Caenorhabditis elegans: one gene and its partner. The protein of the gene in region 1 interacts with the protein of each later gene in a pairwise test. Each region holds a gene or a part of one and is shown on either strand. Other genes may lie near its edges.

Region 1 (4,923 bases):
TACATAGAAAAACAGCAACAAACAGCTACTGTAAAGTAGGCGTAAACCAGTTGGTCAAGTTCATTATCATTACATATTCTGTCCATAATCACATATCCTTAGACATTCATTTCTTCCTCAAATGCGATTCATTCTTCTCACCACATTTGTCACTTTGACAACATTTTTCCGATATTCTGATCAAGGTGGGAAGCTGTGAAAACAATTTTTTGGAAAAATTATGGTTATTCTCACAGTAGTAAATCCCTTCTTTGCAAAACTTTAGCATTTTGACTACTTCCACTTTTCGAACAAAATATTAGTTTCAACAGTATTTTTCAGATTTTATTCAATAAACTTTCATTTTTCAAAAAAACATTCGTATTTGCCAAAAATTAACCCAATTTTTCAGTTAATCAAATTTTCAGCTGTTCGCCCTGTAACCCTATTTATTCATTTATTCGATGTAAAAGGAAAACGATCAACCATTCTGGATGAAGGATATAAGTATACTGTAGGTGAATTGAAGAGTATGCTTGTCAAAGAGATTGATGTGTCCGGACATATTTTGAGACTTTATTTCGAAGGTTGGTTTTTGATGTAATTTTTTAAACTAAGCTGAAAAATATTCAAGTAATCTGTATTCAAAAATGCACGAAGAATACGAGAATCCGATGCTATTGATCTCGTTTTTATAGGTCAAGAACTCTGGATACCCGACCGTACTCTAGCAAGTTATCGAGTTCGTCCAGGAGATACTGTAGATATTTACCTGGAAAATATAGCAGAACAACTTGCAATCAAATTCGGAAATCAAGACAAAAGTCCAGACGGAAAATTGAGAGATGAATAATCAAGTTCCAATCGTACAGAAAAAACGCAATATTTCGGAATGCAATATTTTAATAAATTTTAAACTAATTCTTATAAACGTTTTGAACACTTCTTCCGAATATTTAAAGCTGAAAGGGAGAACTTTGGCGCTTTCTATCAATGTCCCATGATAAGCAGATGCTTTAGTGTTGTATTCGAGATTGGCTAAAGAAGTATTATAAGACACATGCAGTTAGTTTTTTGAGTTGGGATGCGTTTAAATTACAGACTATTACAGGAATTGGTGAGATGATACGACATGAAATCATAAGGTTTGCAATTAGACCGAGTTTTTTCACATGAAATAATGAGTAGTTAAGGAATCAATTGATCAGCACGCTTTTCACGATCATTGCAGTCACCAGGTATGGATCACAATTCGACGATGGACGGCGGTCTTCGAGATATCCCTGTAAAATATATTATTGTTTTATTAAGGGTTTACTGAAACTAACTCTTCCTTCATCAGCAACTTGACGTGGGATACGAACTGAGCAAGCACGATTAGCAATTCCCCAGGAGAATTGGTCGGCTTGACTGGTCTCATGCCGCCCAGTGAGTCGGCGCAAATTATCATGTCCTCCATTTGGATCGTATACTTTCATGGCTTCTGAATGAGTCTTTTTAAGTCCCTCCATAGCTGCGATAATAGTTTCCAATCCATCTGGTCGACGCATATCAATCGTTGAGAAGTTTGTATGACAGCCAGCGCCGTTCCAATCGCCCATTGTAACGCGTGGTTTGGGGTCAAGAGAGACGCAAACTCCGAACTGTTCGGCAACTCTAAAAAATCAACATTACAATGAGTTTTTCTTGCAAAAGTTACAATGTGAAACATTTGACAGAATTTGAAAATTACCTGTGCAATATGTATCTAGCCATCCACAGCTGATCGCCCATTTCAATACCCAGGCAAGTACCAATTTGGAACTCCCATTGTCCTGGAGTGACCTCCGCGTTCGATCCGAATATGGTGATTCCTGCGTGGAGACAAGCACGATAATGAGTCTCAACGACTTCACGACCAAATGCACGATCGGCCCCAATACCGCAGTAATACTTTCCTTGTGGTGCAGGATACCCGTGTTTCGGCCAGCCGAGTGGATGTTCGTCTCTGTCGACAATCAAGTATTCCTGCTCCATTCCGAACCAGGGTTGCTGATCGGAAACCTTCTTCATGAGTTCCGCACACATTTGTCGGTGATTGGTGGCTGGAAAAATAAAACGGTTTAGAAAAAGCTCACAAAATTAATTCAGGGTAAAATTTTATTTACCTGTGGGCTTCATCTCATGATCTAAGGTGTCGCACATCACAAGAACGTTCAATCCTCCAAGGAACGGATCAGGGAACACTGCCACCGGTCTCAGATAACGATCAGAATTGAGGCCATCAGCTTGTCCAGTCGAAGATCCATCGTAATTCCAGATCGGATACTCGGACAAATATTGCGGTTTTGTGTTGATAGTACGTGTTTTGGCACGAAGATGTTCACCAGTTCCATCAATCCAAACATATGTAGCTTGGCATTTTGTTGGATGAGCTGGAAGTCCCATGAAGTGATCGATGGTTGCCTGGCCGAGCGGAAGACGGGTCTCGTAGTTGAGGTGGGACATGTTGTCTGACGAGATAATACCCGAGGGGCTGGCTTTGAAGGCTGAAAAATTAAATTCAGAGATGAATAGAAATTCAGAAGAACACTACAAAAAAAGGAAGGATATGAATGGTGCGTCCATAGTCTGCGGAAAACGGGAAATTCCCGCGTGCGGAAGCGTCCATAGTCTGCGGAAAAAAACAAGGAGTTTCTCGCTTTGTTATTGGTCAATTTCAAAATAGTGGGCGTGTTCAACCGATTAGAGGCTGTAAAATTTTAAGCTGAGCAATGGGAAAACAAGAAACAACAGCTGATTGGTTGGCCACGCCTACTTTTTTGAATTTTGAGGAAAAAAAGCGAGGAACTCCGGTTTTTCCACAGACTATGGACGCTTCCGCACGCGGGAAATTCCCGTTTTCCGCAGACTATGGACGCACCAGAATAATAAACTGATTAATGAATTTCGAAATACACAGCTCACCATCGAAACAGCAAAACAAAAAATATGCCGCGCGCGCAGCACTTTGAGATCAAAATTCTTTTGCGAGATAAGAAAAAAAATTGCGGGGGAGCACGTTTGCATCAGGAAAAAAATCCGAGACAGGAAACTGTGAAATTTTGCGAGAAAAAAAGCAGCAAAAGTAACTAAAAGGGCAGTGTTTAAAATAATTTCGATGTTTGCTTTCAAAAGTGTCGAAATCACTGGCTAATTGTCTGAAAAGACCGAATTTCATAATATTATGATTCTAATATTTCATATGAAACTGCTTGAAAACTTTTCATAAAAAAATTAATGAAGGATCAAAAAATGGCCTCAAATTAGTTAAAACTTGAAATTTGACAGACCTGTCAATGTCGCACCGGCCGAAAACATTTTTTTTGAAATCACTGTCAAATTTTGAGTATGCAAGTAATTATTTTGCGTTTTCAACTTCATTTTGGTACTTTAAAGTCGATGGACGGCGAGATTTTTATGTGATTATGATTCACCAGCTAGCAGATTCAATTTGTCAAGATAATCATTTAAAAAAAATAAAATTTTAATTTAATTATTCATTATCAGTTCAAATTGCACAAGTAGTGTACGGTGCATTCGCGAATGCCTTCTTGTAGTTAATAATTGGAGAGTGAGTTTCGTAAGTCAAATATCCCATGATTTCCTTTCTTATTGGATTTTTAACAAAGGGTTGAATCCATCTAAAAATAAAATGAAAATTGAGATATCATAAAACAAAAACTAACTCAAATCCTCCTTCACATTGATCGATTGATCTTATTTGGAATCTCAAAAGCTTCTTGTCATTGAGTGGAATTTCTTTTAAAATGCTTTTGAATATTGCCTGAGCCACTTTACTATCATCAGCATATAGTGGAGTCAATACACATTCACCAGATGGATAGATGATCACATTTCCAAATCCAATCACTTTTCCATTATTGTCGTATGCTACCTAAAGATGTTCAATTGATAAAACTCAAATTTTGAAACAAACCTTTCCAAAACCTTCAGGATCTCTAAGAAGATTTAACAGTTTCACAATATACATATTTGGTGCCTCCGTTGCATTTTTAAGGAATATTCCATCAAGATTCAAGTCGTCAGGAACCTGCATCTCATCTGGCTTGTAATATGAAACATTCTGAATATGTCCAGCATCATTTTGTCCATGCATTTTCTTCCATAAGTTCATCGAAGTAGGCATGCATTGAGCAACAGCATTATCTGATTGATTACGAATTCTGAGCTTCTCAATATAATCAGTCAATATCATGCTATCAACTCCACGATAATCTGCATCAATCCAAAACATTCCACGATATTGATGATTTGTGTCATTGTTTGATGGTATCGGTGGGAAGGTGATGACGTGGGATGTTTGAATTATTTTGTTAGTTCCCTTTGGGCAAGTAAACCACAGAGCATAACGGCCTTCAAATGACTTCATCCACATTGAAATGTCGTTTCTTTTGAAGTTCAAACGTTGATTTCCGTACTGAAATGCATCTGAGCTCATATATGATTAAATTAAAACAAATGAACATTTTCAACTTCTCAATGTAGTCTTTATGCCAGACTTCTCGCAACTCCTGAAAATGACTTACCACTTTCATATACTCATCAATCATTTTCTCATCAGGATTGATTATAAAATCAACATTTTGAAGTGTAAGTGTATCTCTTGGTTTTCCATCCACAGTTTTGTACTTGATTGTCCTGAGTGAACTGGCACTATTCGAAGAAACTTTCGTGAGATGGCGGCCAAGAGATTTGAAGAGCATTCAAGTCGAATTGGGCAAGTCTAGTTTTATGAATTAATCGGAAAAATCGAAAACATAAAAGTAAAATAAAAAAGGTTAACCGAACACGCAAGGTCTTCGAAGGTTCTACACGTGGGAAACTATTCTAAAATCTCAAAATCTTATAAACATTCTAAACACTAATCACTTGGAACTGGCTGCATATGATTTGTTGGTATTG
Region 2 (6,337 bases), on another chromosome or scaffold:
AGTTTCAGATCCAGAAGCTCAACCAAATTTTGCGCCCGTCGAAGCACAGGCTGTAGATTTGGATATGTTGGAGGAAGAAGGAGAAGGTACGTTGTGTACTACACGAGGAGAAACTTTTTTTTTCAGATTTTGGATGAATTTTTATATTCTCCAAAATCCGAAAAATCCAACAAAAATTTATTTTCGCTTCCTTCTCTGAATTTTTGTTGGCTTTTGATCCGAAAAAGCAAAAAAAAAATTTGACGAAAAACACCAAAAAATGAAACAAAAAATCAATTTTTTTACAAAAACCGAAAAATTGTAATTTTAGACAAATAAAAACCAAAAAAGAAACAATTTTCTACCAGAAACTTTTAGAAAACCAATTTTCGACATAAACTCCGAGAAAAACCAATTTTTGATTTACAAAAAAAAAAACCCGAAAATGCCAATTTCTTACTAAAACTAAAAATAAATAAATAAAAATCCCATTAAAAACTTTTTAAAAACAAATAATCAAAAAAAAAACCAATTTTCGAGAAAACAAACCCGAAAATATCAATTTCTTACAAAAAACCCATAAAAAAATTTTTAAAACAAAATTTAAAAAAATTTCGGTTAAAAAATGTATGCCAAAATTTTAAAAAAATCTAAATTGATTAAAAAAAATAATATCTCTCCAATTTTGCAGACGATGAAGTGATGGAAGTAGGAGGAGTCGACGGACAATTCATGATGGATGGCCGAGCAGTTATGGAATAGTTTTCCCTCGTCCACGGCCACAATCACCTCTTCATTCAACAACTAATCTTTCTCACTAATATATTCTTGATTTTCCCCAAATAATCCCATTTTCTTCTTCATCTCCATTGAATTTTCACGTATCCGGGTAGTATTTAGGATATCATTTCGTTTCAAACCAGTCCCCCCACCACTTTTTTTTTTTTGAAATCTGAAATATTCAGATTTCCCCTGTTATTATTTAATACTGTCACAGTCATTTCTGTACCTTTTTTGAAGTTTTCGCACTGAAAATTTTCCAATTTTTCATTAAAAATAGCCCAATGTGTCGTCGTTTGTGCCTTTTCGGTCCTCCTGTTTTTCTCGAAAAAAAACCCGCTTTTTAAAAACTTTTCTTCATATACTAAAACTTTCAGTAATCCCAGTGTGTGTTCTCTCTTATTCATTTTTTCCCACCAATTTTCATACAAATTTGAAATTGTACAGAATTTTCCCTTTTTTCCTTTTAATTCTTAATGCTAAAATCACTTAATTTTACCCAAAAATAATTTACCATGTCTTCTCTAATTCCCTGTCTCTCTCTCTCTCTCGCTTGATTCACAGTTTGACGTACTCCGCCGAACAATTTCGCTTCTTTTTTTGTTGAAATGTTTTTTTTTCACACCTACATAGCCTATAAGCTCCAATTATTGTGTCTCTCAGCGGCTTATTTGATATATTGTCCACAATATTTCTCGTGTTCCTTCTCCTTCTCGCTGACTTGGAGATTTTGTTTTTCCAATGAAAATGTATTTTAAATTACTTTCAAACGAATTTTTTCAAAACAGTAAAATTTTCGATGGTTTTCCATATTTTTCCCAGAAAAATCGCTAATTTTGATGAGCATTTGAATTGCCGCGCGCTCATTCTTAAGCTCCGCCCATTTTTCCGTGCCGCATTTTCCAGGTTCGGCGCTAATTTTTCGATTAATTTCTTTATTTTCTAGTGAAAAAAAAGGATTTTTGTGGAAAAATTTCAGCCAAAATCCGAAATTTTCTATTTTTTCGGTTTTTTTCGGAGAAAATCAAAAAAAAAAATTATTTAAAAAAATAGTCGAAAAATGTCTTCAAAAGTTGAAAAAACATTAAAAATTAAAATTTTTCCAATTAAAAAAAAACCAAAAAAGTTTCGTTTCTCGCCATTCCGAAAATTTCGAAAAGTGCGGCACGGAAAAGTGGGCGGAGCTTAGAGACAATAAAATTTTATTGATTTGTTCATTTTTTTCATGGATTTTACATTAAAATTCAGTTATAAAATAAAAATAAAAATAAACAAAAAAAATGTCTTCAAACGCTGCAAAAATTTTTTTTCGCCTTTCTGAAAATTTCAACAAAATTCAAAGTGCTGCACGGAAAAATAGGCGGGGCTTAGAGACAACTTTTTGAAAAAATTATTGATTTTTTCATTTTTATATAGATTTTACATCAAAATTCATTTATAAAATTGAAAAAAAATTCTGCAAAATTAAATTTTAGAAAAAATTACTGGAAAAAAATGCGAATTTCCCTGCAAAAATGCTCCAAAACCGCGTGCTCCGTCCTATCAAAACGTCCAATTTTATCGCCGAAAAAGCCGAAATCCGAAGGAGAAGCCACTTCATTTATTGATTATCGACGTGTTAGATGTCAGGCTGGAAATGGTGGAAATGGAATGGTTTCATTTTTTCGTGGATATCGGAAACCATTTGGTGGTCCAGATGGTGGTGATGGTGGACATGGGGGACATGTCGTTTTTCGAGGTACTTATTGCATGCTGAATTATTGGAAAAGCACGAAAAAATCAATTTTTTCAACGAAAAACTCAACCAACTTGGGTCTCGCCACGAAAAAAACTTTTCAGCTACAGTAACCGCAATTTTTGGGATTTCCTTGATTTTTTACATAGTCCAAACTTGTTAAAATTTGAAATAAAAATCAAAAGTGAGTTAGAAAAAAAATAAGCGGGTACGGTAGCTGATTTTCGTGGTGGGACCCGAGACTGTGAAAAATTGATTTTTCAGCAAAAATTTAATAGAACACCGGTGAGCATTCAAGAAAATTGTGAAATTTGGTTTTTTTTCATACGAAAAAAAAAAAATTCAAAAATGGAAATACGTTTTAGTCGTAAATTTTTCATTTTTGAGTGAAATTTTACAATTTTTTAACTCTAAAATTCTGCGGAAACCGATATTTTAACACATTTTCACCTAAAATTTCAAGATTTTCCACTAAAAAGTAGTCTTTTTAACAGTTGAAGTGAATTTTCACAGTTTTTTGATTAATCTTCCGTAAATTACGTTCCATGGTAAAATTTTATAAAATAATAATGAAAAATTGAAAAATGTATAGAAAATTCAATTTTCAGTCAAGCTTTCTGATTTTTAATATAAATTTATTTCAAATTTAGCGCGAAAACTTTGCGATTTATTGAGAAAAATTTAAACTTAGAAAAAAAAAGTTTTTAAAAATTAATTTTAAAGCTACAAATTCTAAAAAAAAATCAAATTTTCAGCCAGTCGCAGTAGTAAAGATCTCTCGACAGTTCACTCAATCGTACGGGCTCAAAATGGAGAATTCGGCAGGTATCCGGCTACCACAAAAAAATCGTAAAAAATCTAATTTCTACATTTTCCAGATCAAAATCATGTCACGGAAAATCAGCAGACCATAAAGAAGTTGAAGTACCTCTTGGTACCGTATTCAAAGCTGATGGGAACACAATTTTTGAGTTAAACAACGAAAATGATGTGAGATTCTCTCGATGGAGCGTACTTACAACATTCAACACTTTTTTTAGATGTTCATTGCGGCACGTGGCGGAGTTGGAGGACGTGGAAATCAGTTTTATGTGTCGAATGAGGTCCGAAAACCATTTAAAGCAGAGTATGGAGGAGAAGGAGAAGAGGTTTTGTTCATATCTCTTTTAATTTCAGTTTGTAGTCGATTTGGAGTTAAAATTCGGAATGAGCGTAAAATTTTGGATCGTAATGATGTGCGACATGACCAGAATAGGCCGGGCCTGCTTTGTGCCTACTTCATGCCTACAGCCTGCCTACCCGTAGGCACAAAGTAGGCATCGGGCATGTCGCACATCGATCCGGGCCTAAATTTTGCGCTGATCCCGAACATGCACTCCGAATTGGGCGAAAAATTCAAATAAAATTTTTTCAGCTAATTTACGACGTGGAAATGCGAGTTATGGCGACAGCAGGCCTGGTTGGATTCCCGAATGCTGGAAAATCGTGAGTTTTTCTGGAAATTTCATATAATTTTCGCGACGAGACCAAAATGTGCTCAATTTTCAGTTCGCTGCTCCGTGCAATTTCCCGAGCCAAACCGAAAGTCGCCTCGTACCCATTTACAACGCTCCACCCGCATATTGGTGTTGTATTCTATGAGGATTTCGAGCAAATCGCGGTTGCCGATATTCCAGGGCTCATTGAGGATTCTCATTTGAACAAAGGGCTCGGAATCTCTTTTTTGAAGCATATCGAACGATGCGAGTAAGGGAACATTCACTGTGTCGATTTACGCAGATCGTGTAGTCCTCGAGGATAAGATTTAGGCTGAAAAACTAGATTTTAGCCTATTTTGGCTCAAGTTCAAGTTCAACAGTAAATTAAACATGTACCAATTCTAATAGTTAAAAAAAAACTGTGAAATCTTTTCCTCGTGGAGTACACGAGCTGAGTAAATCTACAAATGGTCGTGTTCTTCTTCCATGCTAAAAGGTTAAACATATCGTGTTTTCAGATCCCTGTGGTACGTATTGGACTATTCCACTGGATCACTGACAGATCAATACAAAATGCTCCGCGTTGAACTGGAAGGATATCAAAAAGGGCTTGGAGATCGAGCATCAACAATTGTAATCAATAAGATTGATTTATCAGGGAAGAGCCCGGAGGAAGAAGCTCACCACCTCTCTTCACTCTTCCCGAATCTCCCTGTATTTCCTGTTTCTGCACAACAACGGATAGGATTGGAGCCTCTATTAGAGCATCTTAGAGAACAATATGATAAATGATTTAGTTAGATTTTTAATAAATAATTTTATTTTCCGTTGACCTTGAATCCAATTAAACTCAAGTCGCCGTCTCGCAAGAGCCCGATGCGTAGACTTCTTTTTAGTGAACTGCCAGAGTCACTATTTTTAGTGAACTGCCAGAGTCACTTATTTTAGTGAACTGCCAGAGCCACTTATTTTAGTGAACTGCCAGAGCCACTTATTTTAGTGAACTGCCAGAGCCACTTATTTTAGTGAACTGCCAGAGTCACTTATTTTAGTGAACTGCCAGAGCCACTTATTTTAGTGAACTGCCAGAGCCACTTATTTTAGAACAATCTATTTTTCGTGAAACAATCTATTTTTTCGTGTAACAATCTATTTTTTCGTGTAACAATCTATTTTTTCGTGTAACAATCTATTTTTTCGTGTAACAATCTATTTTTTCGTGTAACAATCTATTTTTTCGTGTAACAATCTATTTTTTCGTGTAACAATCTATTTTATCGTGTAACAATCTATTTTTTCGTGTAACAATCTATTTTTTCGTGTAACAATCTATTTTTTCGTGTAACAATCTATTTTTTCGTGTAACAATCTATTTTTTCGTGTAACAATCTATTTTTTCGTGTAACAATCTATTTTTTCGTGTAACAATCTATTTTTTCGTGTAACAATCTATTTTTTCGTGTAACAATCTATTTTTTCGTGTAACAATCTAAATTAGAAAATTCATCTACCGTTCTAAATTGGAAACTTCATCTACCGTTCTAAATTGGAATATATTTTGGAATATATTCTGGAATATATTCTGGAATATACAAGGAAAACCTGGAATCTTCTAGAAAAGTCTGGGAACTTCTAGAAACTTCTGGAAAATTCTGGAAAAAAAATTAAAAAGTTTTAGAGAAACTCAGAATCTTCTGGAAAAATTTAGAAGCTTCTAGACTTTTCTAGGAAAACCGGGAAAATTTTATAAAACTCTAGAATCTGCTAGAACTTTCTAGAAAAATCTGAAGACATCTAGAAACTTCTGAAAACTTCTGGAAAAATCCTAAAATTGCTAGAACGTTTTAGAAAATTCTGGAGACATTAAAAAAAAATTGGAAACTTCATGATTTTCTTAACAGGAAGAATTTCGCCAGGAAAAGGTGTAACTGCGCAAAAGGCACAAAAAGCAATTAGAGAGTTATTGAAACAATTTGTGTAAGCCATTATTTATTTTCTTTTCTAAAACAATGAAACTATAAATTATCGAATATTTTCCGCCACAATCTTTGCCTCCTTTTTCAAATCTCTTCTCCAGCAGAAGACAAGTATTAGAGAGGTGAATCCTAAGAGACCAGTCGGGAATAAAAAGAGCCAGTATTCCAGATCACGCTGAAAGAATTTTTTGCTGAAACTGCAAACTGAAAAAAAAGGAAAAACTTACATCATAATATGTGTGGCATCGTTGAATTCCGCGAAATTCTCGAACGCAAACCAAACTCGAGGAGATCTCCATGCAGTCACTGGAAATTTATTATAGAGTACGGGTACTTCACCCCTCAACCTCACCTATTACTGGTACTGTACACCCGGGACGCTTGAATCG

Evidence for each region.
Region 2: the proteins of gln-6 (region 1) and M01E5.2 interact in a two-hybrid assay, tested with the Caenorhabditis elegans proteins (one large-scale study listed by BioGRID).

Annotation. Positions count from the first base shown.
Region 1 is NC_003282.8:9,738,389-9,743,311, forward strand, and holds gln-6 (glutamine synthetase), read right to left. Parts: upstream 2,514-4,923; 5' UTR 2,467-2,513; coding exon 2,127-2,466; intron 2,064-2,126; coding exon 1,712-2,063; intron 1,636-1,711; coding exon 1,308-1,635; intron 1,263-1,307; coding exon 1,176-1,262; 3' UTR 873-1,175; downstream 1-872. Other genes in the region: C28D4.10 (Ubiquitin-like domain-containing protein), read left to right, coding at 122-185, 408-566, 678-832; C28D4.7 (DUF1248 domain-containing protein), read right to left, coding at 3,509-3,641, 3,687-3,895, 3,938-4,438, 4,548-4,724.
Region 2 is NC_003279.8:13,276,073-13,282,409, reverse strand, and holds M01E5.2 (Mitochondrial ribosome-associated GTPase 2), read left to right. Parts: upstream 1-2,234; 5' UTR 2,235-2,253; coding exon 2,254-2,497; intron 2,498-3,249; coding exon 3,250-3,319; intron 3,320-3,372; coding exon 3,373-3,484; intron 3,485-3,534; coding exon 3,535-3,642; intron 3,643-3,908; coding exon 3,909-3,979; intron 3,980-4,042; coding exon 4,043-4,240; intron 4,241-4,490; coding exon 4,491-4,764; 3' UTR 4,765-5,442; downstream 5,443-6,337. Other genes in the region: M01E5.3 (RNase NYN domain-containing protein), read left to right, coding at 3-86, 671-741.